4 linked regions of the Stegostoma tigrinum genome follow. The protein of the gene in region 3 interacts with the protein of the main gene of each other region in a pairwise test. Links are inferred from orthologs where the notes say so. Each region holds a gene or a part of one and is shown on either strand. Other genes may lie near its edges.

Region 1 (7,683 bases), on a different chromosome or scaffold from region 3:
TTCACCTGTCCCACCATTGTTGCTGTCCCAGTAATAACTTGGACTGTTGCAGTCTCAAGTCAAAATGATGCACAGCTGCTTCCACAACACAACACGCACTGCCGCTTGAAGACTGAGGTAGACAGGGGCATTCCCCTGCAAGCGCCAAAACATGAACACCTGCTCCCCGCAGTGAGGGCACAAAGGTGTGTGACAAATCAGCACCAACTTAGCATTTGTCCCATCAGTCAGGTAACAACCATTGTCAAATTATTTTAATAAGGATCAGTTTGCCTGAAATGCGCAGATTACTTATCTGAGCGTTATGCGAACAACATTAGATCTAAAGACCTTAAGTGATAACCAACTTTCTATAAGGAAGCACATGCTCACTTGGGACAAGCATCTTGATAAAACGATGCCTGGGGAAATAAACTCTACGCTTAACTCCTTGCATGACACGTTGGCAACTTGCAAAATACCTTTCACAAAATCGATTTGTTCGTTTAAAATTCCCTTTCTTAGTCTTAAACATTAGAGGAAAACGGGGCGAAAATTGAGCGTAATTTGTCATTCCCCTGAATGAATGACAAAAAAAAAATGAAGTCTGTCGTGTCAAAGCAACAAAGCATCAGATAACATCACTAGCCTCCAGTTCTACTTCAGGACAATCAGCTGTCTTATATCAAGCGGGCACACACCTCTGATCTGGTTGTGTGTGATGGATACACCCCGTTACAATGCTGGGTTTGACCTTTGTGAGTTTTAGCTGGGCACAGAGTTCTCAAGAACTCATTCCAACGTGTGTCATTTAACCAAACATTCCCACAAATGTCATGAAAACATTACCTGTGACAAGTCAAGACTGATTTTGGAAATCATGAAATATGGCACCTAGATCTAAGGACGCACACTGTAAACGAGCGTAAAAGGACAAGTGAACTGCAGAGTGGACAGTGCGAATCAGATTTAAATGGACAAGGCCATCACACTGAAAGAGAAGTAAACGGTTTACCTTCACGTGACTGGGTGGTGATAACGAATCCGTGCGGGTTCCTTGTTTGAAGGTGCCTCCAGCCAGTACCATAGCCCTGCAATCCTCACACGCCCCAACTATCAGCTGCTCACCATCATCCACCACGAGAGTCTCGGCCACTCGAGGGGTATGTAGGAAGACAGGGAGTCGGTTTACCGTGATGGCTTTCAGGCCGAGGTGACGCTTTCTCTCCTGCCTGCAGAAGAAGCAGACAAAGGTGTCCACTTTGTACTGCCGGGACCAGGGGCTGCTGGGATGCTGAGTGTTCTTCCCCCTCCACCACTGCTCTAGGAGGTCATGGTAACACAGGACGCAGGCTGACGCTGGGCTGGTCGAATCTACAGGCCGGACGGTGGCCGTGCGCGGGCGGCTTGCCAGGAACGGAAAGAAGGGCTCACGCTGGCTGTGGCGGCCAGGGGGGTCGACGTTCAACTGGAACTCGCGGCCCGGCTCCAGCTCCGCGCCACACAATAGGCAGACCGTGACCCGGGCCGCCCTGAACACCTGCCCGGTCGCCGGGTTCGGGCGAGGGCCACCGGCGGCGCCGCTCATCCGCAGGTACCGCGTGAGGAAGGCCTGGGCGGACGAGATCAGCTCCTCCCGTCCAGTAGCGGTGTAGGCCCCCCATGTGTCCTTCAACACCGCATAGCAATCGTCACAGCATCGGACCTCCCCGCACTCACTCATCTCCGGGCCGTTCGGGGGACGGGGCAGGAGGCGAATGAACGGAAAGTACATGGGGCCGTCCCGAGCACTGCCACCACCACCACCATTGTCGATGCTCCTCGAACGCACAGCCTTGGCGTCTCTGCTACAGTCCTGGCCGCACAGGTAGCACTCCTGGCCTGGGGTCTCCCTACCGCCACTGGGCTCCCTCTCACCCGGGGGGCTCGTCAGTGCCGTGCCCAGGACTCCGGTGTTCAAGGGCACCATGTACAGCCTCTGCAGTACGGGCACGTTGGCCATCTCAAAGCCCCTCCACTGCTGCATGAGCGATGCGTGGCAGAATGTGCACACCAGGGTGCTGCCCCCGGGGCTCAGGGGGCAAGCCCCGGGCGGGGGTCGGTGGAGCCACAGGAAGGGGAAGAAGGGCCTCCGGCAGGGCCCGCCCTCCTGCTTGTGGACGTGGACCTGGTGCCCAGCGTCCGGGGGCAGGCCGGCACCACACACGAAGCAGGCCGGGCCCCCACCCTTGGCGACCACCCCGCCCCCTCGCTCCCGGGGTCCAGGCGGGTGGGACTCGTCCCCGGAGGAGTCTCCCGCGCCCGGGGGTGCCCGGCGGGCCGGGGTCTCGCTCGGTGGAGAGCGGTGGTCGGCGGTCGGCGAGAGGGGTCGGCCGGCCCGGGGGGAAGGGGCGAGGGAAGAGCCCCGGCGGTGAGTGGGAGCGGGGGTCTCCAGCTCCTGGTCAGTCAGGTCCTGGTCAGACAAGGAGGAGACAGAGGAGTCGAGCGCCTCCTTGCTGCCGTGCCCCACGCTGCAGGCTTCGGGCTCGTAGCTGGGGTTCCACTCCTGGGGCACGGTGCGGCTGTCGCACTGGTGCGGTCTCTTGAGCCAGTACATGCGCTTGTCGACCGGGGTGCGGGTCCTCTCGAAGGATTCCCACTGCTCGCCCAGGAAGCAGCGGCAGACGGAGCAGACCTGTACCCAGCCCTCAGCGCTTACCCCCCGGGCTCCGGGAGCTGGCTCCTGCTGCAGCAGGAACGGGAAATAAGGCGAGCCTCGGCAGCCCCCTGCCCGCACTTGGAGCCGCTGCTCCCGCCCGGGGCTCATACAACCGCCGCAGATGAAGCAGTGCAAGCGGGCGGTGCCGTTCGCCGAGCCGGCGCCGGGGCTCTCCTCCCCGGACTCGAAAGCTGCCATCAGCCGGTGTTTCCTGGAGCGCGGAGCAGCCGCTTCTTTGTCACTCATCATTCGCGCTGGGGGGAGGGAAAGCTGGAGGTGTCTGTAAATCCCCCCCCCCCCCCCCCCTTTAAACACCACCACCCACAGCCCACTCTGCACTCAGCTTCAAGGCGGACTCAGAGCTGTGTGTGTCTGTCTGTCTGACTGACTGTGCTGTCCCCCTCACACAATCTGCTACTAAACTTTGCCCAGCTCCAGGCAGCTAGACAGCGCCATCTCCTAGCGAGCCATCTTCACGGCCCCACAATGCAACTCCTACTCACTTACTCACACACACACACACACACACACAAAAACTTCCAGACCCCACACTTACTTCAAACTTCACACATCCACACCCCCAGGGGAACACACACACACACACACACACACACACACAGAGTATAGCCAGGAGCCTTGCTATCATTCTTCCCAAGAAGATGCAACCACGTCTGTGCCCTGCAGTCAGGTTCAATGGAGAACATTCAAGAAGGTTTTTGATCATTATCTCAGTAGAAACAATGTGCAGGGTTACACGGGGCTGGGCACCGCAAGGCACTCCATTAAAATTCTCACCCAAAAGGTAAAGCAGTAAAACCACCAAATGATGTTCTGAGGAAGTGTAGCCGGACCCAAAATGTTAACTTTTTTTTCCCCTTCACAGATGCTGCCAGACCTGCTGAGCTTTTCCAGCAACTTTGTTTTTGCTCCAAGTGATGTACACTGGTGCAACTTAGTCATAGAGATGTACAGCAAGGAAACAGACCCTTCGGTCCAACCCATCTATGCCAACTGGATATCCTAAATAAATTTAGTCCTATTTGCCAGCTTTTGGCCCATACCTCTCTAAACCCGAGATAACAAAGTGTGAAGCTGGATGAACACAGCAGGCCAAGCAGCATTTCAGGAGCACAAAAGGTGATGTTTCAGGCCTAGACCCTCTCTAAACCCTTCCTGTTCATATACCCATCCAGATGCCTTTTAAATGTTGTCGTTGTACCAGCTTCCACCACTTCCTCTGGCAGCTGAATCCATACATGCACCACCCTCTGTGTGAAAAAGTTGCCCCTTAGGACCTTTTTAAATCTTTCCCTTCTCACGTTAAACCTATGCCCTCTAGTTTTGGACTCCCCCATCCCAGGGAAAAAGGCCTTGGCTATTCACTCTATCCATGCCCCTTATGATTTTATAAACTTCTACAAGTTCGCCTCAGTACAGTGCTCCAGCACCTGCACTTCCAACTTTTTTATTACAAAAAAAGTGTAATTGCTGGATAAACTCAGCAGGTCTGACAGCATCTGTGGGCTGAAAGCACAGTTAACATTTCTGGCCCGGTGACTTTTCGTCAGTTTTTCACTGTATCCATGATCTGGGCTATGCAGACATGATGGATCGAGTGGCCTTCTTCTGCACTCTAACAACTTTCCATTTCACTTGACAGCACCTTAAATGAAAACAATGATATATTTCTCACTTCCCCTCAATAACATCCACATGTGATTGGCCACTAACTCATAAAGAATCCAGAAAGTCCCCATTGCTCCTTTGAGTTAAACTTTCAGCCCTGCCACCTCAAACTCACCCATAAGCATCACACTGTTGTTTACCTTCAGATTACTTGATAACCTGCATCCTTTTCACTCCTCATCCTCCGTAAAGATACAATATATAAACATATATAGACTGGTTATACTCGGCAGAGCCAACAGAGCCTTAGACCTTTTTTCATGAAGGGTCTAGGCCTGAAACACCAGCTTTTGTACTCCTGTCTTCATCCAGCTCCACACTTTGTTATGATAGCCATGTCTAACCCATTTCCCACACTTCTGCCCTCTTCTCTCCCACAACAACAATAGGGTTCTCCTTCTCCTCATTTTCCACCCACCAGCATCCACATCCAAATGATTATAAACTCCCATTTGCACCACCCTCCAGTGAGATGCCACCACCCAATACATATTCCCCTCCTTCTGTTGTTGGCTTTCCACAAGGATTGTTCCATCTGGGACACCCTGGTCCACTCCTCCTCCACTCCCAACACCTCCCTATAATCTCTGAAGGTGTAACATCTGACCATTTACCCCCTCCCACCTCACTATCCGAAGCCCCAGGCACATCTTCCAAGTGAAGCAGTGATTTACTTGTACTTCACTCAATCTAGTCTACTGTATTCGCCGCTCACAATGTGGTCTCCTCTACACTAGGAACACAAAACAAAGACTGGGTGACCACATTGCAGAACACCTATGTTCTATCGGTAAAAATGCCCCTGAGCTTCTGGTTGCCTGCCACTTCAACACATCACTGTGTTCCCTGACCCACGTCTCTGTCTTGGGCTTGCTGCAGCGCTTCAGTGACAGTCAGCCCATGCTGGAAAAAACAGCATTCCATTTTCGGCTTGGGGAGCCTGCAGCCTTCAGGACTCAATATTGAGTTGGATAGTCTCAGAGCATGAACATCTCATTCACTACCCCATCCCATTGCCAACACATTTCAACTAGACTCCATTATGAGCTACCTTGTATTATGTCATGGAGACAGGCAACCAAATCAGATCAGCATTCCTAACTGTGTATTTGCAACATGGTAAATTAAAATGACCCTCAAAATCGATCGCAGTGGTCCCTAACTAAATAACCTGAACCAGACTTAGTCAATAATCAATACAAGACGCCCTGTTTGTAGCTTAAACAAAATATACAATAACTTCTTAATAATACAGTAGCTTTAGCAGAGCAAAGTGAAACAGTAAGATAACCTAATTAATATCTATGATTTATACCCAATAACTTTTGTTTTCAGCTCCATTCACACAAAAAAACAGTAAAAACAAACATAATTAAGGAAAACCAAAAGATGTAAATCAGAAACAAAAACAAAAGTTGCTTGAAAAGCTCAGGAGGTCTGGCAGCACCTGTGAAGAGAAATTAGAGTTAACGTTTCTGGTCTTGTGACCTTTCCTCAGAACATAAAGAAAGAATAAATCAAAAGGAAAGGAAAAATAATAAAACTGGCCAGATGATTTCAGCAGTTTGCTTTGCTTCCCAGGTACACAGGTTTGTCTCAATTTGTTTTTTGATGGAGCTCATTGCCACCTTTTCCAGCTCATGCTAAGTAAGTTTCAATAACACTAATATCTTTGTTTCTATTCTCTGAACTGCTGATAGTTGATAACGGGAGTTTAGGCGGGGAGCTTTCAAATCTTCATGCAACAGTGTCAAAAGCCAAACTGCCTGTCTCAGAAATCCCCAGTTCAACACAGTTCACAAAAAAACTCTAGTACCTCCCTCTGTTTCATCATCATGTTCTCTCCCAGACTTGTTGGCACCAGTTCCCAGATACTGACCTCATTAGTGGCCTAACATCTGCTATCTGGTTAAGCTAAAGGTTTCACCAGAGTCAAAATATCTTGCAACAAGAAACAACCTGCAATTAACTTTCAGATCTGGCCTCACAAAGAAATAACATTTAGTTTTTTTTGGAAATACACACTGCTGCTCACAGTCCAATGATCACTTTCAGCTCTCAGCAGACAGTTCACAGTCCAAACCAAAAATGATAATGAAAATAAAATTAAGAAAAATTAGCAAGTGTTCCAAGGCTACCTTTTCTTCTTTCCTGATTTACTACCAACAATCTCTTTGTCTGCTTTCCCTTTTCTTTCTTTCTCTGGGCTCTGGCTCCACCTATCCACTCACCCCTTTCCTCACCAACCCCCACTCTTCTCCTTTACACAGCTGCTATTAGTTAGGAAGAAGGGTCACTGGATTTGAAACATTAGCTGTTTTCTCTCAACAGATGCAGACCTGCTGTATTTCTCCAGCAATTTCTGTTCCTGTTCATTTCAGAGCAGTCAGGATGTCTGTTCAAGGAGTTTTTGGGTTAAAGAAAGTGTCGCTACTGGCATTAAAACACTTATCCCTCTGAAAATCTTCAACAAAATTGCCTGAAATTGAAATCCCTGTGCCCAGATGCTGCTTCAGAAATTTCCCTCCCCACCACCCATGCATTTTGATTGTTAAATTGTGGAGTGGATTGCAAAATGCAATTTAAGCAGAAAAATTGAATTGATTATGCTTTTCCACTTACCTTCCTGTTGGATATGCAAATAATTTTATCAGTATAAACAAAGCTCCAACAAGCCTTCACTTTTTGACTGGGCTCCTTGCTTAGTTTATTCCAGTGCCCAGACGTGCGATTTATTAAGCACAACATTGAGAATTGAGTGTCAGGTATTCATTAGTTAATCCAACCTAAGTTCCCTAAAATAGCTGGACTTTGGATAACCTGCATTTCAACAACAGACCTACATATAAATGATGATTTAACTTGCATTTAAATATCACCTTCTACACCTGCAAGGCAGAATTGATTATTTCTGACATGTAGTAATGTTTTTAGGGAACCTGACAGCTGATTTGCTCCCATAATAATATTCTACAAACAGCAATGAGATTAGATGTACAGGTTTGACTATATTGGCAAGAGTACAAATGTTAGCCAGGACAACATAGGGAATCTTTACTGTTCCTTTTAAAAGTGACACAAGGTATTAAATGTTCACAAAATTGTCAAGTCTTAATCCTGTAGCTTTGGTTTTGAAAGAGGCAGTTTTATGCCCATTTGAATTGAACAGATCAACCTAAAAAGCAACACGCCCGCCTCCTTGGTGCCATTACAAAGTGATAATCTAAATGACATGCTCAGGTTCCAGGTATGAAGCTTTCACCAGAAAATTCTGAATTCAACACAAGGCCAAGCTGCCAACACAGATAAATAAAGTTACG
Region 2 (6,938 bases), on a different chromosome or scaffold from region 3:
GGTGGGCTTGAAATGGACATCAGTTACAAGCTGGTTGCCTGAGATGGAGACTGAGAGGTCCAAGAAGGTGAGGGATGTGCTGGAGATGGCCCAGGTGAACTGAAGGTTGGGGTGGAAGGTGTTGGTGAAGTGGATGAACTGTTTGAGCTCCTCTGGGGAGCAAGAGGCGGCGCCGATACAGTCATCAATGTACCGGAGGAAGAGGTGGGGTTTGGGGCCTGTGTAGGTGCGGAAGAGGGACTGTTCCATGTAACCTACAAAGAGGCAGGCATAGCTGGGGTCTGTAGGAAGTGGGAGGAGTCAAAAGAGAAGTTGTTGAGGGTGAGGACGAGTTCAGCTAGGCGGATGAGTGTGTCGGTGGAGGGGGACTGATCGGGCCTGCGGGATAGGAAGAAGCGGAGGGCCTTGAGGCCATCTGCATGCGGAATGCAGGTGTATAGGGACTGGCCGTCCATGGTGAATATCAAGTGTTGGGGGCCAGGGAATTGGAAGTCCTGGAGGAGGTGGAGGGCGTGGGTGGTGTCACGGACGTAGGTAGGGAGTTCCTGGACCAAAGGGGAGAAAATGGAGTCCAGATAGGTGGAGATGAGTTTGGTGGGGCAGGAGCAGGCTGAGACGATGGGTCGACCAGGGCAGGCAGGTTTGTGGATTTTGGGAAGGAGATAGAAACGGGCCGTGCGGGGTTGGGGAACAATGAGGTTGGAGGCTGTGGGTGGGAGGTCCCCTGAGGTGATGAGGTCGTGAATGGTGTTGGAGATGATGGTTTGGTGCTCGGGTGTGGGGTCATGATCGAGGGGGCGGTAGGAGGTGGTGTCGGAGAGTTGGTGTCTGGCCTCGGCGATGTAGAGGTCAGTGCGCCATACTACCACTGCACCACCCTTATCTGCGGGTTTGATGGTGAGGTTGGGGTTGGAGCGGAGGGCTGCCCGTTCTGCGGGGGAGAGGTTGGAGTGGGTGAGAGGGGTGGAGAGGTTGAGGCGGTTAATGTCTCGACGGCAGTTGGAGATGAAGCAGCTATGCCTGCCTCTTTGTAGGTTACGTGGAACAGTTCCTCTTCCGCACCTACACAGGTCCCAAACCCCACCTCTTCCTCCGGTACATTGATGACTGTATCGGCGCCGCCTCTTGCTCCCCAGAGGAGCTCGAACAGTTCATCCACTTCACCAACACCTTCCACCCCAACCTTCAGTTCACCTGGGCCATCTCCAGCACATCCCTCACCTTATTGGACATCTCAGTCTCCATCTCAGGCAACCAGCTTGTAACTGATGTCCATTTCAAGCCCACCAACTCCACAGCTACCTAGAATACACCTCCTCCCACCCACCCTCCTGCAAAAATTCCATCCCCTGTTCCCAATTCCTCCGCCTCCGCCGCATCTGCTCCCACGATAAGACATTCCACTCCCGCACATCCCAGATGTCCAAGTTCTTTAAGGACCGCAACTTTCCCCCCCCAGTGATCGAGAACGCCCTTGACCGGGTCTCCCGCATTTCCCGCAACACATCCCTCACACCCCGCCCCCGCCACAACCGCCCTAAGAGGATCCCCCTCGTTCTCACACACCACCCCACCAACCTCCGATTACAACGCATCATCCTCCGACACGTTCGCCATTTACAATCCGACCCCACCACCCAAGACATTTTTCCATCCCCACCCCTGTCTGCTTTCCGGAGAGACCACTCTCTCCGTGACTCCCTTGTTCGCTCCACACTGCCCTCCAACCCCACCACACCCGGCACCTTCCCCTGCAACCGCAGGAAATGCTACACTTGCCCCCACACCTCCTCCCTCACCCCTATCCCAGGCCCCAAGATGACATTCCACATTAAGCAGAGGTTCACCTGCACATCTACCAATGTGGTATACTGCATCCATTGTACCCGGTGCGGCTTCCTCTACATTGGGGAAACCAAGCGGAGGCTTGGAGACCGCTTTGCAGAACACCTCCGCTCAGTTCGCAACAAACAACTGCACCTCCCAGTCGCAAACCATTTCCACTCCCCCTCCCATTCTCTAGATGACATGTCCATCATGGGCCTCCTGCACTGCCACAATGATGCCACCCGAAGGTTGCAGGAACAGCAACTCATATTCCGCCTGGGAACCCTGCAGCCTAATGGTATCAATGTGGACTTCACCAGTTTCAAAATCTCCCCTTCCCCTACTGCATCCCTAAACCAGCCCAGTTCGTCCCCTCCCCCCACTGCACCACACAACCAGCCCAGCTCTTCCCCCCCCCCACCCACTGCACCACACAACCAGCCCAGCTCTTTCCCCCCCCACCCACTGCACCCCAAAACCAGTCCAACCTGTCTCTGCCTCCCTAACCTGTTCTTCCTCTCACCCATCCCTTCCTCCCACCCCAAGCCACAGCCCCATCTACCTACTAACCTCATCCCACCTCCTTGACCTGTCCGTCTTCCCTGGACTGACCTATCCCCTCCCTACCTCCCCACCTATACTCTCTCCACCTATCTTCTTTACTCTCCCCACCTATCTTCTTTACTCTCCATCTTCGGTCCGCCTCCCCCTCTCTCCCTATTTATTCCAGTTCCCTCTCCGATGAAGGGTCTAGGCCCGAAACGTCAGCTTTTGTGCTCCTGAGATGCTGCTTGGCCTGCTGTGTTCATCCAGCCTCACATTTTATTATCCACGTATAATAACCGGGATGGCCTCCATTTGCAGTGCAAGATTGTATATACTTCCCCATAAAAACAAAACGTAGCACAAGGTTCCAAAGCACTTTACAACCAATTATGTACTGGTAAAGTTTAGTCACTGCTGTAATGTAGGAGAGACCGCAGACAATTTAACTGCCATTTCCCTGTGTTCAAGCTCCTATAAGCAACAACTTGACATGAAATAACAAACCGTTTCAGAGTGGAGGCAAAATATTGTGTATGCTGGAAAACTAAACCGAACATATTGCTGAAAAAAAACACAGCAGGTCTGGCAGCCGTGGAGTGAGAAACAGTACACACTTTAAAGAACATAGAACAGTACAGCACAGAACAGGCCCTTCAGCCCACAATGTTGTGCCGACCACATTCTGAAAAAGTCATACCGGGTTCGAAATGTTAACTCTTGTTTTTCGCTCTCCAAATTATGTTAGATCTGCTGAGTTTCTCCAGCATTGTGTGTTTGCATATCTGCCTTTGTGGCGTTTATCGAGGGATATCAGGGCTTCTCAAACTGGGATGTTTTAGCTCCACGAGGGGGAAAAACACAGGGCATCTGTTTAAACCTAATGCGAAATATGGCACGTCCAGGAGTCTCATTGTCCTCACTGCTGCACCGAAATGACACTTGAAACCAAGTCCTTGTAGAATGAGGGGTAAGCATTACACCAAGTGAGACAGAACTAGCACCAGATTACAAGCACAGCAAAACATTATTCAATTCCAACACATCCATCCTTTAACTCAATTTTTGAAGGTGGGGGAGGCGGTGTGGTGGACAAATGGGGTGAGTAGATTCGAGGAAGGGGACAATATGTTTAAGCACATTACGATCTACTCCAGCGCTTCTTTTAGTGTAATTACGGCAGAAAGGTACCTGACTGACAACCTGGATGACGTCATGCAGTAAGCAGAGAGTATTTGGAAGCAGTGTCGCTCAGCCGCGGGGAAAAAAATCCCAGAACAGGGCAGCGGTTCAGCAGCAGGGGCACAACGAGAAGGAAACTTTTACTCTCGAGGCAGGAGTAGGGGCAGACCGGGGGAGTTTGCAAACCCGAAAGAGACGAAGGGGACATCGAAAAGACGGTGACGTTTTGGGTGGTCGTGCGCGCGTTTCGGTTGGGAGCGCGAGCAGAGTCCAAACGGCCGCTCGAGCTTCTCCCTCCGCTCAGCTCAAATAAACATGGAGGCGTGAGGAGGACGGGGGCTCGGGGGGGGGGGGGGGGGGGGTAAAAATAACATTTGTTTATCACAAACTCGGAGAGAGAATGTTTCAAGGCGAAGTGCCGCCGGCTCGGAGCAGCGACTCGGCGTTTCTCCTTCATCGTTTTACTTTCCCATGGAGGAGCTGGAGTTTCTAACAACCTGCCGCTCGCTATGCCCAAGCCCAGCAAGGGCAATGGAGAACTGCCCCTGCCACCCGGTTGGGAAGAGGCGACCGACTACGATGGGAAGTTGTACTACATTGACCACAACACCAAGCAGACGAGCTGGGTCGATCCCCGCGACAGGTGGGTAGGCCCCGGTTAGCAACCCAAACACAGCTCCACTTGCCAAATAAGGTGCAGCCGTTTGGAGCACTGCGCGTGCGTTTTATATATAAAATATTAACAAGCGAGTTTCTTGTACTGCGCATGTCTGATTTTGGGAGCTGTGGACGTAATAAACCAGGACCTGTAATGCGCAGGCGTGACATTCCAAGATACTTTACCCCATTCCTTTCTGCAGGATCCCGAGGTCATTCCAGTTTCCAGTTTGTATGCTTTCTTCTGCAGACTTGCTTGCCCGCCGAAGGGGAAAAAAATTAAAACTTAAATAAAATCATCAAAATTGCCGGCTCTTAAATTTGACACATTGCAGGCAATTCTTATGAAACACTGGAAAAATTTTAGGCTCCACAGTTGTCTCTTTTTCGAATGAAAGACACAGAACCTATATTTGACATTATGATGGGGAAGCAATTGTATTAGGAATATTATTTAGCATTAGGAGACTATTAATTCAGAGACCCAGATAATGTTCTACAGACTGAATCTGGCCACAGCAACTTGGAGAATTTGAATTCACTAAAAGCCTGGAATTAAGAGTCCGATGACATCATTGTCGATTGTCAAGAAAACCTGATCTAATTCATTAATGTCATTTTAGGTAGGTTGAGGGTCAGATAATGTTGAAGAAAGGCGGATGCTGCAGAAGACCAGAAGGATGGACATGGCAAAGATGTTTCCACTATAGGTGAGACTAGGATTGAAGGGCCCAGCCTCAGTGAATGGATGACCCTTTAGAGATAAGATGAGGAGGCATTTCTTCAGCAAAAGAGTGGTGAACCTGGGGATCTCATTGCTGCAGAGGGAGTGGAGGCCAAATTATTGCGTTTATTCGAGATAGAGATAGGTTCTTGATGGTAAGGGTTTCAAGGGTAATGGGAAGAAGGCAGGAGCTTGGGGTTGACAAACATAACAGCAATGATTGAATGGCAAGGCAGACTCAATGGGCTGAATGGCCTAATTCTTATCCTATGTTTTATTGTATTTGGGAAGGAAACTGCTCCTGTTATTGTCTGGCCTACATGTGACTCCAGACTCATAGTAATGTCGTTGACTCATGGCCAGTTTAGAATGGGCAATAATTACTGGTTAGCCAACAATGCCCACATCCATGAATTTTTAAAGAGCCATTCACCCATTATTAAACATGGGCAGACCTTGGGCCACGTGGTGATATAGAAGTAGTAGATTAAAAACCACAGCTTTCACTTATACACTTCTGACAGTGGAGCAGATAGAATGCACCATTTATAAGATTAATTCGAGGCTTTGCAATTTTCTCAAATTCTTATAAAAATCAACAAAGATCTCACCTCTAAGACTGCTAAACTTTAAGTTGCCAATTGAATTTTAAAATCAGATCAGCGTGCTCAAATAATTTGTAACTTTTGAAATTTAGCTAAACATTCATATTGACATCATAGCCCTTGAGGAGATGTCAACAAAGAACTCATTTTGGAACTGCATGCATCCTGGCTACATTTATGTTTATTGATCTGAGGAAGATGGCCTGTCAATCAAAGCAGTATAGTAGTGGGTTTTTTCAATGACAATTGTTGCTCATTTTGAAAATAGTAATGGAACATAGAGCAGTACAACATAGTACAGGCTCTCCTGTCCACGATGTTGTGCCGATCTATTATCCTACTAAGATCAATTTTCCCTGCATACCCAACATTTTACTAGGCTCCATGCGCCTATCCAAGAGTCGCTTAAGTCTCTAAAGTATCTGGCTCCACTACCACTGCTGGCTGCGCATTCAGCACACCCACCACTCTGTGTGCAGGACCTACCTCTGATATCTCCCCTGCACCTTCCTCCAATCACCTTAAAATTATGCCCCCTCAAAATAGTCATTTCCGCCCTGGGAAAGTGTCTCTGACTATCCAGTCACCTCTCATCCTTCTTCGCCAGAATGAAAAGCTCCCTCGACCTTTCCTTATAACACCTGCCCTCCGGTCAAGGCAGCATCCTGGTATATCTCCTCTGCACCCTCTCTAAAGCTTCCACACCTTTGCTATAATGAGTTGACCAGAACTGACCACAACATTCCAAATGTGAGCTAACCGGAGTTTTATAGAACTGCAGCATAACCTCATGGTAAGGTAATTCCCCTGCCAATGAAAGCCAACACCAAAAGCCTCAACTCACTCAACTTGGGTAGCAACTTTATGGGATCTCTGGACAGGGAATCTCTACCTTCAAGAATGGAAAATTGCAAAGATTAACCAACATGTCCTCATCACACCAGGTGCAAATTTTTTTTATTTCTCATCTCTGTCCTAAACAGTCAACCCCTTATCCTAACACCATGGGCTGATCCCTCTGTTCCTCCTCACTGCTGAGAATCCTGCCATTAACTCTGTATTCTGCATTCAAATTCAACCTTCTAAAATGAATCACTTCACACTTTTCTGGATCGAGTTCCATCTCCCACTTCTTTGTCCAGCTCTGCATCCTGTCAGTGTCCCATTGCAACCTACAGCAGCCATCCACCCTGTCCATAACTCCACCAGCTTTCGTGTCATCGGTAAACTTACTATCCCACCCTTCTACTTCATCATCCAAGACATTTATAAAGATCACAAATGGCAAAGGTTCCAGAACAGATCCCTGCAGAATACCACTGGTTACCAAGCTCCAGGCTGAATACTTTCCATCTACTACCACCCTCTGTCTTCTGTTGGACAGCCAGTTTTATATCGAG
Region 3 (7,049 bases):
TGGAGAGGCCTTCAAAATGGGATAATGAGAGTTCAGAGTCTGTATGTTCCTGTTAGTATGAAGGGCAAGGCTGGTATGTGCAGGCAAGATAACAAAGTGTGGAACTGGATGAACACAGCAGGCCAAGCAGTATCTCAGGAGCACAAAAGCTGACGTTTCGGGCCTAGACCCTTCATCAGAGATGGGGATGTGGAGAGGATTGTGAAATAAATTGGGAGAGAGGGGGAGGCGGACTGAAGATGGTTAGAGGAGAAGATAGGTGGAGAGGAGTGTATAGGTGGGGAGGGGATAGGTCAGTTTGGGGAGGACGGACAGGTCAAGGAGGGGGGGATGAAGTTAGTAGGTTGGAAATGGAGGTGCGGCTTGAGGTGGGAGGAGGGGATGGGTGTGAGGAAAAACAGGTTAGGGAGGTGGGGACGAGCTGGGCAGGTTTTGTGATGCAGTGGGGGAAGGGGAGATTTTGAAGCTTGTGAAGTCCACATTGATACCATTGGGCTGCAGGGTTCCCAAGCGGAATGTGAGTTGCTGTTCCTGCAACCTTCGGGTGGCATCATTGTGGCACTGCAGGAGGCCCAGGATAGACATGTCATCAATTCTGTTTGACTAGGCAATTTGAAGCTCCGGTCAAGAAAAAAGAGGCATGTTTAGATATAAGGTGGGATAAAACAAATCCCTAGTGGAGTATAAAGGCAGTAGGAGCATACTCAAGAGGGAAACCAGTGGGGCAAAAAGGGACATGAGATGGTTTTAGCAAGAAGAGTTGAGGAGAATCCAAAGATATTCTACAAATGCATTAAGGGCAAAAGAGTAACCAGGGAGACAATAGGGCCCCTTGAAGATCAACAAGACCATCTATGTGTGGAACCACAGGAGATGGGTGAGATACTAAAAGAGTATTTTGCATCAGGTTTTACTTTGGAGAAGATTATCAAACCTAGAGAACTTGCAGAAATATACAGTGATATCTTGAAAGGCGTCCATATTACAGAAGAGGAGGTGCTGGACATCGTAAAGCTCATAAAGATGGATAAAGTGCTTGGACATGATCATGTGCTTCCCAGAACCTCGTGGGAAGTATTGGAAGTGATTGCTGCGCCTTTGCCTAAGCTATTTGCATCACTGATAGCCACTGGTGAGGTGCTGAAAGACTGGAGGTTGGCTAACATAGCACCACTATTTAAGAAAGGTGGCAAAGAAATGCCATACAACTATAGATCAGTGAGCCTGACATCAGTGGTGGGTAAGTTGTTGGAAGAGATTGTGAGGGACAGGATTTACATGTATTTGGAAAGGCAAGGACTGATTAGGGATAGTCAAAATGACTTTGTGTGTGAGATGTCATGTCTCATTAACTAGGTTGAGCTTTTTTTTGAAGAAGCGACAAAGAAGATTGATGAAGGCAGAGCAGTGGATGTTGGCTATATGGAATTGAGAAAGGTGTTCAACAGGTCCTGCATGGCTGGCTGGTTAGTATGTTAAGATCACATGGAATCTGGGGGTGCTAGGCATTTGGATATAAAATTGGCTTGAAGGTAGAAGACAGAGAGAGGAGGACTGGAGGTCTGTGACCAATGGTGTGATATAAGGATCAGTGCTGGGTCACTAATTTTTGTTGTTTTTATAAATGATTTAGATGTAAATGTAGGAGGTATGGTCAGTAGGTTTGCAGATGATGCCAATATTGGTGGTGTAGTGGGTAGTGAAGAAGGTTATCTCAGAGTATGGGACCTTGACCAGATGGGGGGAGGAGTGGCAGATGGAATTAAATTTAGATGTGTGAGGTGTTGCATTTTGGTCAGGCAAATCAGAGCAGGACTTATACAGTTAATGGTAGGGTCCTGGACAGGGTTGCCGAACAAAGAGACCTTAGGTGCAGGCTCATAGTTCTTTGAAAGTGGAGTAACAGGTGGCCAGAGTAGTGAAGAAGGCGTTTGGTACACTTGCCCTTATTAGTCAGTGTATTGAGTTGGGATGTCATGTTGCAGCTGCACATGAAATTTGTTAGGAATACTACGTTCAATTCTTGTCTCCCTGCTACAGGAAAGATGTTGTTAAACTTGAAAGGGTTCAGAAAAGATTTTCAAAGCTGTTGTCAGGGTTAGAAGATTTCAGCTACAGGGAGAAGCTAAACAGACTGGGGCTATCTTCCCTACAGCGCAGGAAGCTGAACGGAGATTTTTTGGAGATTTATAAAATCATGAGGAGTCTGGATCAGCTGAATTGCTAAGGTCTTTTTCCTTGAGTGGGGTAGTCCAAAATTAGAGGGCATGGGTTTAAGGTGAGAGAGGAAAGATTTAAAAGGGACTTAGGCATTTACAGAGGCAAGTTCCAATGTAAATGCAGGCAAACAAATTTCTAACGGTACTGTATAAGAAAAGGATTGAATATGATTGACTATTGATGTTACACACTACAGGTTTATATTGCATCTGATCCAAAACTTCATATGACTATATACATGTTAATTAAAACATGCAACAATGTTTGCATTTTTAGTTTGGTTGAACATCCTAACATGCTTCACAAGAATGCCAAGGATTTCCTAAAATGCAAAAGCTTGATCAAAGATTAGGTTTTAAGGGGAAAATAAGTCCAGGAGAGAATTGCAGAGATTACAGCTTTTTAATAATTCATTCAAGGGATGAGGGTGTGGCAGGCTAGGCTGGCATTTATTGCCCATCTCAGAGGGCAGTTAAGGGCCAACCACATTGCTGTCATAATCATCAATCAACTCCTAATTCCAGAACTACTTTTTGTTGAATTCAAATTACATCCTCTACCAGGCAGGACTTGAACTTAGGTCCCCTGACCATTACCCGAGTCTCTGATTGACAGACCCCTAATAATACCACTAGTCCACTGTCTGCCCTATCCTGGGCACCTGAAAGCACAGCTGTCAATGGTAGAGCATAATCTACGGGGTTGTACAGAAAGCCAGGATTGGAGGAGGGCAGAGATAATTGTAATTAAGGATATTACTGGAATATGTTGGGTTGAGGCAATGGACAGATTTACCACAAGAATAAGCATTTGTAATTGAGATATTGCTAATGTAAATCAAGGCAATATAATTGTGAGCATTGTTACTTGGTGTGAATTAGATGTGGGCAGCTAAGTTATAGGTTTACTCTAACTTTTTTTTATCTTCTTAAACATCTCACATAATTCTTTCACAGGATGTGAGTGTCGTTGTCTGGATCAGCATTCATTACACATTTGAGAAGGTGGTATTGAGCCACATTCTGGCAGTCCATTTGGTGCGATGACAGCTAGAATGCAGTTGGGAAACAAGTTACAAGGTTTTGACCCTACCACTCTTAAGGAACAAGGAAATTGTTCCAATTCAGGATGAAGTATGCAACTTGCAGATGCCTAAGCTATTGAGGACACAGGGTTACATCTCATCATGATAACTAGTGAAAGTTAAATGTAATTTAAAAACACTGAACATAACACTAGACTCAGTAATGATACCACGGCAATGTTCATTGATTGTCATAAAATCCCATCTGGCTTATTAAAGTACTTTAGGGAAGGAAATCTGCCATCCTCACCAGATCTGCCCCACATGTAACTCCAGACTCATACCAATGTGGCTGACTCCTAACTGCTTCTTGGAACGGTCTGACCACTCATTTGTATCAAAACGCAAAGGCCGTGGTCTGAACATAGGAATCGGGAGCATAGCCGTCCCTCAGGCCACCCCAATTCCAATTCTGCCATTGAATAAGATTATGGCTCACCGCATTCTCAGCTTCACGTTTCCTGTCTGCCACTGATAACCTCACACGCCGCTCAAGCGCCGAAGGGAATTGCAAACCTGCTCGTGCAACCTACTCCCAGAATTTAACCCTCCCCTCGGCGACAGATGGGTGAAGTGTTTCAGGAACATGACATTTCAAGTGATAGTAGTGGTGGTTTGTGGTTGGGGTAGGGGTGTTGCACAAGATCCTCAGTACAGATTCTTTTAAGGAAGGAGGCTGCCATGCTTTCGTTACTGTGTCTTGCCTGCTTGTCCTCTCTCAGCGACAACGTGCTCTTGAAGATTGTTTGCAGTTGCTTGAAAGCGAAGCAGTTTCTCGCTGGTGAAGGATACGCGTGTTGCTGTTTGTCTCCTCCCCGGATGCTGTGATTGACAGATTCTGCAGAGCCCTGCTATGTGTGTGTGTGTGTGTGTGTGTGCTATATATTGTGTGGGCGCTTTGCAGAGAGCAGTTGTTCTGAACAGGACCCTTCACAGAATAGGACTGCAGTAATTTAACTCCCTGTCTCCTGTGGTGTAACCAGAAATTAGGACAAATTAAAACCGAACCCCCCCGCCGTTATTCTTTTCACATGTAAAAGACCTGTCTTATTGATTGTGTGTCATTGAGCGGAAGGATATGTTTTAAATCGTTACAAAAGCAGTGACGAGAGAGAGTGGGAGAGAGACAAGACTAAGCTCCGGGCTGTGTCAGTTTTCGGGTGAAATTAACATGGCGAGCGACTCTCCAGCGCGAAGCTTGGATGAAATCGACCTCTCGGCTCTGAGGGTGAGTAACCCAGATCAGAGCTCTCCTCGTGCCAGATTTTGCTTTCTTCCGGGAGATACATTGTTCCCTCTGTAGCACTGTCACAATCTCCAACACACCAATGTAGCAGTTGTGTGTCACAAAGATGTGCGATGTTACAATCTACATTTCCTGTCCTGTCTCAAAATTGTAGCAAATTGGCAGGAAGGATAAATAACACGTCTAAACCGAGTTGCTTGTGTTTATGTGTAACGTGTTAAGCTCATCATTCCATTAAGCTCACTGTACGCCAATGTCACAATGAATGGGGTGAAATGGAACCTGTTTAGATTTTTTTCATTCATCGACTACACCTCCTCCCCCCCCCACCCCCCGCGCCGTCCAACACCACCCTCCCTCATTCCCGCAGTGAATTGTTTCAATTTGAAGGCATTTGTTACCTTGTGTGTTTGTGGGCGCTCCCAAACCGAGACGATGTTTCATAACATGCGTTTGTAAAGCCTCCGGTTGGAGAGCTTCCTTCAATTTTCTCTGCAGAAAGTGAATTGTTGCTTATTTTCAAGCATTTCGCGAAATTGAGATTGCTGGTCAGAGACCAGGTACGGGGCAGCCTCAGCTTTTATAATAACATAGAGAGGAAAATAAAATACAACTGGATAAAGGAAGAGAAGCTTGGGCCAGGGGTATCGTGCTGTTTCATTCAGCCTACACAAAATGTGTTTGCTGTTAGGGAGGTGGTGGTCAAAGGGTCCTGAAGGGAAAGCTAGCGGATGAGAGATTCCACCTCTGTCTGGATCCCATGCACAAGACCCTGAATGGTTTAATGGCTACGGCAATAGGAGCTGTCATCAGCGACAGGCGTTCACTAACATAATGCTTCGAAGGGAAGGAATCGTTTGGATACCAAACAAAAAAATCACTACTGTTTGTGAGCCTAAAATAGCCTGTCGAAACTTGGGACATTTCAGTTTTGGCCATCTGGTCAGAAGAAGAGAGAGATTCGTGAACATTTTAAACGATCTGTAATGACCCTGATTATTGTGCATGGTAGCCCTGCATAGCGGTGTCTGGTTGAGAAAGACACGAGAAAAGACCGGGAAGAGATGGAGAGGGAGACTGCAAGGAAGGGAATGGGGTAGTTGGTGTTGGAGGGGGGGGGCGGTTAGAATTAGGATGGGGAAGAGTGTGGGAAGGGGAACTTGAGTGGGGAGGGAGCTGATCGTTGTGGAATTTGATAATGGTGATATTTCCATTGTTTAGTGTGCATGATTATCATAAACATCTGTTGTGGAGCCACTTCGGAGTGTAGTGTAGGGGCTTTGTTCCGAGGCACTGAAGGAGCTTTCTGGCTAATTATCTCTTGATTTGCTATAGCATGTCTGAACAATTCTGCTTTTGGCATTTTCAAAGATATTGTCGTGTCAGGGCGCATGTTGGTGGGGGAGGGGGGGGAAGAAATCGAGATTTCAGGTTCAGTGCCCTCTCTCCCAGTTTCTGTTTGTGTGGTTTATTGAGGCAAGTGAGAAAGCCAGTGCAAAAGAAGCACAGGTTAACCCAACAAAGCGCTACTTCCCTCCATTCACTACCAGTTTGGCAAACTGACAGCAGGAATTTGTGAAGTCTTTCAGCAGAGCTGTCACTCTCTGCCAAAAGGAGAGATCTTTGTTTTCATCTCTCTCCACCGTCTCGCCGCTCTGAAAGCTCAGTACAACCCTCCGAGATCGCTGCTGCCTTCCAATATTTGCCCCCTGAGGATTTTAATCTCACCATTAAGGAAACTTCTGTTTACAGCCTGAACTCTTAAGTTCTGGAATCCACTCCTGAAAGGGGGACTGGGAGACGAGAGCTGTAAGCCAATCATTAAGGCCAATGTCTTCGACCAAGCTTTAGGCCGTATGTCCCAACATCTCCCTATGCAGCTGAGTGCCACAATCTATTTAATGACAAGCACCGTGGAACATTTAAATACATGAAAGGTGCTATGTAAATGCACAAAGTTGTTGCCATCCCCCACCCGAGGGTTAGTATTTTGAGTTTAGCGGCTCAGGTATTCCGAATTGAGTTGGGTGGGGGAAATGGGCGTGTGTAAATGTGACTGGAACCACTTCCTCATATGGGGACGGAGGGAGCAATTGTCAACACCGCCAGGTCGGGCTGAACGGCCTCTGTCTGTGTCGTTGGTTGTGTTGTAGCGGTGTTAGGTGAAAACAGACTGCCCACACGTGAGTAAAGTAGGTTGGATAGCATTGGGGTGAGGCTGACTGTGGGGCCGGCCCGCGCTGATTTCCACAGCTTGCGAGTGTGATTGAAAGAAGCCAGTCGTCACTGAATGCTATCCGAGGTCTGATGTTGGCCCCTCTGGCTTGGAATGTGAATATTACATGGTCACTATCTTACATGGTTGGAGCTGCTGAGTTTGGTTCCAGCTTGTCTTGAGCGCATGAAAATGGAGCGGGAATCTCGATCTGTTTTGTCTGGGAGCGAGTTCGTGCCTGCCCTTCCAAATCAGTAAGGTGTTTTGCGTGGAAATTACAGCAA
Region 4 (7,669 bases), on a different chromosome or scaffold from region 3:
CTACAATTGATGGACACAGTTATTTTTCTCTCTGCTGTGGCATTTAAAAAGCTTCAGTTCTCTTTCTGTTGCTAGATTATTTCTTTTGGTGCACCTTTCTCCTGGGGCTGGAGTGGAGATAGCACATAAGGAAAACCTATTTTGCTGAAGTTGTCTTTGCCAAGGGTGTGTTTATGGGATGCTGCAATATTGGAACGTTATTTTGTTAAGTGGCTCAAAAGACTTAAAGTTATGTCAATTTTTTTTGTTTATATTTTAACTGTGTAACTATTTAACTGTTGTAAGAATAAAATGTGCTGCTTAAAGCCTAATGGTGGGCTAATTGAATTACATCAGGAATGCACACTTGCCTTTAAATAAAATGAACAAAGTTCATGCCAAGGCTATCTCCTTGATATATTGCAAGGGTGTTTTGGTTTTGTCCATTATACAAAGCAACACTTAATTTCCAAAACCGTAGTTCAGTACATTGCAATTAAAGTAGTATTCAAAGGGCTCAGCACTATGAAACCTGTTCCTCTTCTATGTATACCAAACAGCAAATATAAACATTGAAGTCCACAGATACTATGCCTAGCCTCACAGATACTCTGGCTAATTTGCTAAGCGCCAGCATTGCCATAATGTAGTTAGTGAGAATTGACTTCAAGCAGTGGGTGAATCACAGAAATGAAGGAGAAAATCATGATGATGGATGAAGAACAGGTGCCTTTCAACTATTGAAGCATTGTTATTCATGCAGAGTATCGGGGGTCCTGGCCTCACAGGGCTGGCATATTAGATGAGATTTCTGTTGTGGTTGGTTGGCTCGCAGATCTGGTTTGTTGATTTGCAGATGTTTCACTACCCTGCTAGGTAACATCATCAGTACAGCGTCCAATGAACTTCATCAAAGACTGCATTGTGATGTTACCCAGCAGGGTAATGAAACGTCTGTGGAACAATGAACCAGCTCAGCAAACCAACCAACCACAACATCCACAACGAGAGCTACAAATCTACTCTAAAATGAGATTTCTGCCGGAGTACATATTTAGAATCATTTCTAAAGCTCAAAAGACATTGAAAGGGATCTCATAAGGAATTTGGACATGTTTACAGTGCAGCAATGGCAAAATGCAAACTCCAGAATCACCTGCAGAAGAATCCTCAATGTTGTGGGCTCTAAATACAAAGGAAGTCCTTCATATTTGCATGGTACTTGCTGCTACAACAGAACTGGGAGCACACTTACCAACCATCTTGTCTACTGGACATGCAGGAGATTGCATTGGCAGAACTACAAGGCATGGCCTTAAATTAACAGCTAAGGATTTGCAATCTCATAAAGATCACAGTCCAATTTAAGATAATTCCCTGCTAGAATAGGAGCAAGGAATACTTGGGGGAAAACGAATAGCAGAAGCAATATTGTTTTCCTTAGAGCAGGGAAAACTAATAGGAGATTGAGCGAAGCTACCATAAATTATTGCCAGTTTACAGTGAATAGGAAGGAACTATTTCCATGAGCAAGTGGAGCAGTAAACAAAGGCTTAAAATAACTGACAAAAGGCTAGAAGAGAAATGAGGAGAACGTTTTCGCGCAACAACTTATTGTCATCTGGAACAAAATGTCTGAAAGTTCAGGAGTAGCTTTCAAAAGGCAATTGGGCAATTATTTGAAAAGAAAAAAAAAGTAAGGCCGTGGAAAAAGGCAGGAGAGTAGACCTCACTGAGAAGCACTTCTGGTATGCTGTGCTGCTTGGCAACGTGATGACTCTTTTAAGATATGAGCCAGCCCTTACTGTAGTGTCAGTGGCAAGGTTGGCCACAAAGCATTTAATACTGGCTTATTGAGGCCAAAGCAGCTGTCAGTGATTGTTTTTAATTTCAAATGGATTATTTTTCATTTAATGTCCATTGCATCTGAAAGAATTAGTGGGTTTTAAAGATGTGTTCCACTTATGATGTATTCAGCAATTTCCAAACCATACATAGAAGCTTGAACGTATGGCTATGAGCAGCGATGTTGTTTCTGATTGAAACAAACAGAGACAATATTGGAGAAACTGAACAGGTCTGGCAACATCTGCAAAGAGAAATGGAGAACTTCACTTTAGGAGTTCTGAAAACATTAACTTTGTTCTCTGTGGAGACAGAAGTTCTCTATCTTTCTCCAAAGACACTACCAGACCTGCTAAATTTCTCCAGCACTTGTTTCAGCTTTCCAACATCACAGTATTTTAGTTTCCAACAGAGTTCTTTATTGGATACTGATTTTGGACTTAGCGGAGGTGAAATTACTTGCATAGGCCTGAAAGCGATGGTTAGACCAAGGTGTTAATATGACAAAACACTTATTAAACCTTTTGGTCCAATTTTTCCATGCTGACCAGGTATCCTAAACTGCACTAGTCCTATTTTCCTACATTTGGCACATATCCCTCTAATCTTCTCCTATTCATGTACAGCCATAGAGTCATGGAGATTTGCAGCATGGAATCAGACCCAGTATTTGGTCCATATCCCTCTAAACTCTTCCTCTTTGCATACCCATCCAGGTACCTTTTAAATGTTGTTTTTGTACCAGCCTCCACCACTTCCTCTGGCAGCTCATTCCATACACACACCACCCTCTGTGTGAAAAAGTTGCCCCTTGGGTCCCTTTTAAATTTTCCCCCTCTCACCTTAAACCTATGCCCTCTATTTTTTGGACTCCCCTACCCTAGGGAAAAGATCTTGACTATTCACGCTACCAATGCCCCTCATGATTTTACAAAACTCTGTCAGGTCACCCCTCAGCCTCCGACACTCCAAGGAAATAACTCCTTACTATTCAGCCTCTTCCTATAGCTCAAACACTCCAAACCTGGCCACATCGTTGTAAGATAGCAAGTTGCAGAATTGGATGAGCACAGCAAGCCAGGTAGCATCAGAGGAGCAGGAAGGCTAACGTTTCGGGTCTGGACCGTTCTTCAGAAATCACTGTAAATCTTTCTCTGAACCCTTTCAGGTTTGAGAACATTATTCCCGTAGCAGGGAGAAGGATTAAAAAGCAGTATTCCAAAAGTAACTGAAACAATGCCCAGTACAGCTGCGACATGTACTTGTCCAAATGTATTTTAAATGGAAGTCATGACCATACCAACTGGTCTTGTTCCTGGTTGAGTAAACAATGCAAGAGTCCAAGCGTTATGACCAAACCAAATGATACTCCGTTCCTGTTTCCAATGCAGAATGAGGGAGTAAACGGCAGTGCAGAAGGGAGGCAGATTTGGCAGGGTCTGTGTGTGTGTGGGTGGGGGGGGGGGGTGCAGGCTGGTAGTCAGGATCTTGGTAGCAGTGGGCTTTGCGTTTCCTCACATTTGCGCTGGGGGTGGCGTGCCTCGGCGAACGAGGCGCTGCAGGGAGGGTGCTGAAAGGACAGTTCCCTTATTGCTGCATCCGAACGCTCGACCCGCCCCGGAGACAGCCCGGGGAAACGGCAGTGGCGTCTGTGCCCGGTTCCCCCGGTCGCTGCCCAGGCCCCCGAGCAAAAATGCGGGGTGAGTCCTGGGATCTTACCGTGCTCCGGTTGCTCTGACTTACACTGGCTCTACAAGTGGGGCAATAACAACGGGATGGGACTCAAGGGACGTAGCCTTCCTATTTTCCGGTTGAAGACCATTGGTAAAAGAAAGGGCTCGCTTCCATTGTTTAAAATAACACCTTTTTTTGTTTTAGAAAGTAAGAATTTTAAATTAAAATCGATGCCTATATTGAAGATAATCTCACTGTTTTGAGGACCTCACTGCAGTTTCAATTGAAAAAAATGACCAAATGACTGTCAACAAGTGCAGTTACATTTTTTTTGGGAACTCTTAATCTTCGAGATTCCGGGGCGCACTCTGATTTTAAACAATATTCACGAGGAAGTTAATCTGGGAACTCTTCAGCTTGTTCTTGATTCAGGTCTTCTTAAGCTTTCAAGGCAGAGGTACAGAATCATGCAGGTATGTCCTGGTGTGGGACAATCGTTCTCTGCCACAGTAAACACCTCCCTCAGTTGTCCCACTTCACCCCCACCTACCCGCCAGCTCCCTGTCGTAGCCACACAGTTCATCCATTATCAGCATTCCCTCCAAACAGTGTCTGCTTTCCACCTATATATTCAGACGCCATTCAGACACGCACATATCACGATTAACCGAGATTGCAACCGAGGAAGAGAGAGATAGAGACTTGCAGAACGACACAGAGAGGGAGAGGCTGTTAGAAAGACACACACGCCGAGACAGAGGGAAAGATAGAGGCTGTGAAGTCGACAGAGAAAGAGATACAGAGGCTGTTAGAACGACAGAAAGAGAGAGAGGCTGCTAGAACGACAAGCGCAGACAGAGGAACCTGCATTGTCTTGTTTGAGTCAGCAAGTTCACTCAAAAAGTCAATTGGATTGTCAAGCCTGCTCCCAGAAGACAGGATCGCGGGGCGGGGGGCGGGGGGGAACTCAGACAATCTGTTCCGTTTCTCCTGACCCCTTTAAGGAATGGGTAGTGCTAAATTGCGTACATTTGTGAGCTTTGAGGGCGTCTCTTAAAAAAAGAGAATAAATAAAACGTAACCTTTGAGAAATGTGCTTGTAGTGAGCTGTGATTTCAGGGCTCTCTCTCTCTGCGCTCTCTCCACTCACTCCCATATCCCACCCTCCACTGTCACAAAAAAGAGCCCCTGGAGATTGTCCTCACTCGAACTGATGGAGCGGCGCCTGTGAATTACCACAAGCAAATGAGAGAGAGAGAGAGAAATACAACACGGTGGAGCTAACTGCACTTTAAAATCCACTCAGTCTGTGGCTCACGCCTCCTTATCACTTCCGTGTCAGGGGATTTCAGAAGCAGTCTGCCACTCGCAGGCTCAGTTTTTCTGACTCCCCCATTTCAGTCTTTCTGATCTGCCTCTCCTCCTAAAACCTCCTCCAGCACCCACCAGCCCCCTCTCCTCTCACCCACCCCCAGCAGGGAAACAAAACCAAGCTTTTGTAGCCCCTTCCACCTTTGCTTGGAGCCCAGGCAGATTCCCAATGGCTGAGGGTAGGAGGATCTGGGATAAGGAGGATGACTTGCCGGTTTATCTGGCCCGGCCGGGCACGGCAGCTCAGATCCCCCGGCAGAAATACGGGGGCATGTTCTGCTCGGTGGAAGGAGCGTACGAGAGCAAGACTTTGGATTTCGACGCACTGAGCGTTGGCCGCCGGAGTTCCCGGAGCACCAGCGGCGCCAGTAAAACTCAGGGGTCCCGGGACAACGCCGAGGCTTCCGGCGACACAGTCAGAGACAGCCCGCTGGCGACCGGGGTACAAATCACCACGGCGAACGGCAAGGAGAGGCTGCAGAACCGGGATGACCCACAGGTAAAATGAAACAACTTCCATTCCGTCTCCTCGCATTTCCTACGCGCATTTCACTGCGAGTTAGAATTGCAAACTTGCAAAACTTTTCATTTCTGAGGAATGACATTTCATCTGTGAGGTTTTGTGCATTTTTTAAAAAACGAAAATATGTTACATTTCGATTCAACAAAACTGTTCATTTCAGCTGTGCAAAAAAAACATATTGTGGTACAAAATATCTTTCTGCTATTGTTGAAGTTCATTTGTGTTGGCGTGGATTTTTTTTGTTTGCTTTGTTTTTGAATTAATGGCCAGATGGGGCATATTTGTCAACAATAGCCTTGTCAGGTGGGTTAATATACTCAGTCTAGCCCAGTTGGCGTCTCTTTTAACCGGACCATTGCGGATCAGAGCAGGCGAGAGATGTCCTGTTCAAGGGAGCATCTAAGTTCAAGTGACTGCAGACAGGATTGCATTGAGCTGTAACATCAGGCAGAGCTTCAGTGGCAAGTCCCCTGGGAAGGAAGAGGTGCACAGAAAGGGGGGGCTCGGTTAAAAGCAAAGCAACAAACCCTCAGCACTACCACCCCCCCTCCCCCCACACACACAATTTGATTGTCTTACTCAATCTGGCATGGGGTTCGCCTTGCCGCATTTGGCTAGCCCTGTGTTACTAAAGGGCTGCAGTGCAGCACGTTATAATGGCCCATTCTGCAGTCTTGGAGGGTCTGTTTGGGAGATTTCTACAAGAGCATAAATAGAAGATGCTGTTTACTGGGGGAGGGGTGCTAGGGGGTGAGTGTGGTTGATCCTCTATCTCTATTACACACAAACACACACTCGTTCCCCCACCTTTCGTGTCTCTGAGCAGTGGGCGCGGTGCTCAGTAACGAGGCAGGCGGCTCCTCCGCCCCAGCTGGGTGCCTGGTTTGGGGTTGCTTTCTGTTTTTTTTTGAAAGGGGAGAGGTTGGTGGGGGCTGACAGGTGAGACGGTGGGAGATAGGGAAAGGAGGTAGAGCCACGCTGTGGCTACAGACTAGAATTGCACTGCGGTAGTTGCATGCGGTCTTTTCCTCTCGGTTAACCCTCCTGGAACAGGGCGGTGGTGGGGGGGGTGGTGTTGGTGAGGGGATTACTGCCGCATGCCTGACTTCGACTGCAGACCCTAGAACACAACCTGCTGTGGACAGAACTCCCCACCCCCCAAACTCTCCATGCAGAAAGAACAAAATCCAGCAAGAATTTGTCTTGACATGTAGTGCCTCTGGGGCTGCCTGTTTATTATCAGGATTGCTTGGCACTCCAATGTTCTGTTTTAAACATTTGCTGTACTGGTGAAACCAAATTGGTTTAAACTGCAGCCAAATCCTGTCACTCTGGAGGAGACTGTCTGCCTGTGTCTGGCCTCTGGGAGATTTGGGATTGCACTACACATCAACAGGTCAGGCTCTGAGGTGCAGCTCAACCGGTCACTTCCGGTTATACAGGGCACCAGTTATGTTCAGCCAGTTCAGACATTCTGAATTCAGCTGGGTCTTGCATCCAAGCCTCCTGGCCCGGGATAGGGGCACTGTCACTGTGCCAAAAGAAACGCAAACAAGAGTCAAGAACTATTGTGTTTTGAAGCAGGGTCACTGGACTGGAAACTTTAACTCGTGCTTTCTGTCCAGAGATATTGAAGGACCTGCTGAGTTTCTCCAGTAATTTATGGTTTATTTTGTTTCTGATTTCCAGCATCCGCTGTTTTTCTTGTTTAAGGTCAAGCAATGGTTGATTCACATTGTTAAGTGTGGAAGGGATGTATCTTGTTTTTCATCCAGCCAGTGTTGGTTTTGAATGTGCCTGTCTCTGAATTCCTGAGGAATAAATTGGGCACCCTTTTTATTCCCTAAATGAAAAACAAATGAAGGTTTCTTTTGACTTTCCAGTTGCTTGTTTTCTTTTTATGTGCAGCAATGAAATTGTTCATTTACAAAGCAGTTTCAGCATGCTAAATCCCTGGTGTACCAAGATGAAAATTAATGCTCCAGGCATGGTTCAGAGACTCAGGTTTGGAGAAGTCTTTTGAAGATCACACATAATCTAACCGAATGACAGAACAAGTTTTATTTATTTTGTTTATTGTTATATGTTTTTTGTTACAAAATGCAGGAGAAAAAGTGTTATACAGTGTCTTTGCTTTCCGTTGCCATGTTAAAACACAGAAAGGTAAGCCAAAGCTAGAATATAAAGGCAGAAAAATGAAGAAATTAAGAAAATGCCTTCAGCTTTGTAGTCTTTCTTGTTAAGTGTTCCATCATGGGCCATGAGATGTATGAACGA

Evidence for each region.
Region 1: the proteins of traf2 and NCK-interacting protein kinase (region 3) and gse1b interact in a two-hybrid assay, tested with the Homo sapiens proteins (2 studies listed by BioGRID and IntAct). The link is inferred for Stegostoma tigrinum from reciprocal best matches to the Homo sapiens genes TNIK and GSE1.
Region 2: the proteins of traf2 and NCK-interacting protein kinase (region 3) and protein KIBRA-like interact in a two-hybrid assay, tested with the Homo sapiens proteins (2 studies listed by BioGRID and IntAct). The link is inferred for Stegostoma tigrinum from reciprocal best matches to the Homo sapiens genes TNIK and WWC1.
Region 4: the proteins of traf2 and NCK-interacting protein kinase (region 3) and dihydropyrimidinase-related protein 3-like interact in a two-hybrid assay, tested with the Homo sapiens proteins (2 studies listed by BioGRID and IntAct). The link is inferred for Stegostoma tigrinum from reciprocal best matches to the Homo sapiens genes TNIK and DPYSL3.

What each region holds. Positions count from the first base shown.
Region 1 is NC_081369.1:53,029,740-53,037,422, forward strand, and holds the start of gse1b (genetic suppressor element 1), read right to left. Parts: upstream 3,012-7,683; 5' UTR 2,927-3,011; coding exon 995-2,926; intron 1-994.
Region 2 is NC_081366.1:21,677,139-21,684,076, forward strand, and holds the start of protein KIBRA-like, read left to right. Parts: upstream 1-3,929; 5' UTR 3,930-4,061; coding exon 4,062-4,195; intron 4,196-6,938. UniProt on the Homo sapiens protein: Regulator of the Hippo signaling pathway, also known as the Salvador-Warts-Hippo (SWH) pathway.
Region 3 is NC_081367.1:57,295,087-57,302,135, reverse strand, and holds the start of traf2 and NCK-interacting protein kinase, read left to right. Parts: upstream 1-4,032; 5' UTR 4,033-4,475; coding exon 4,476-4,532; intron 4,533-7,049. UniProt on the Homo sapiens protein: Serine/threonine kinase that acts as an essential activator of the Wnt signaling pathway. Recruited to promoters of Wnt target genes and required to activate their expression. May act by phosphorylating TCF4/TCF7L2.
Region 4 is NC_081366.1:72,847,764-72,855,432, reverse strand, and holds the start of dihydropyrimidinase-related protein 3-like, read left to right. Parts: upstream 1-4,647; 5' UTR 4,648-5,038; coding exon 5,039-5,368; intron 5,369-7,669.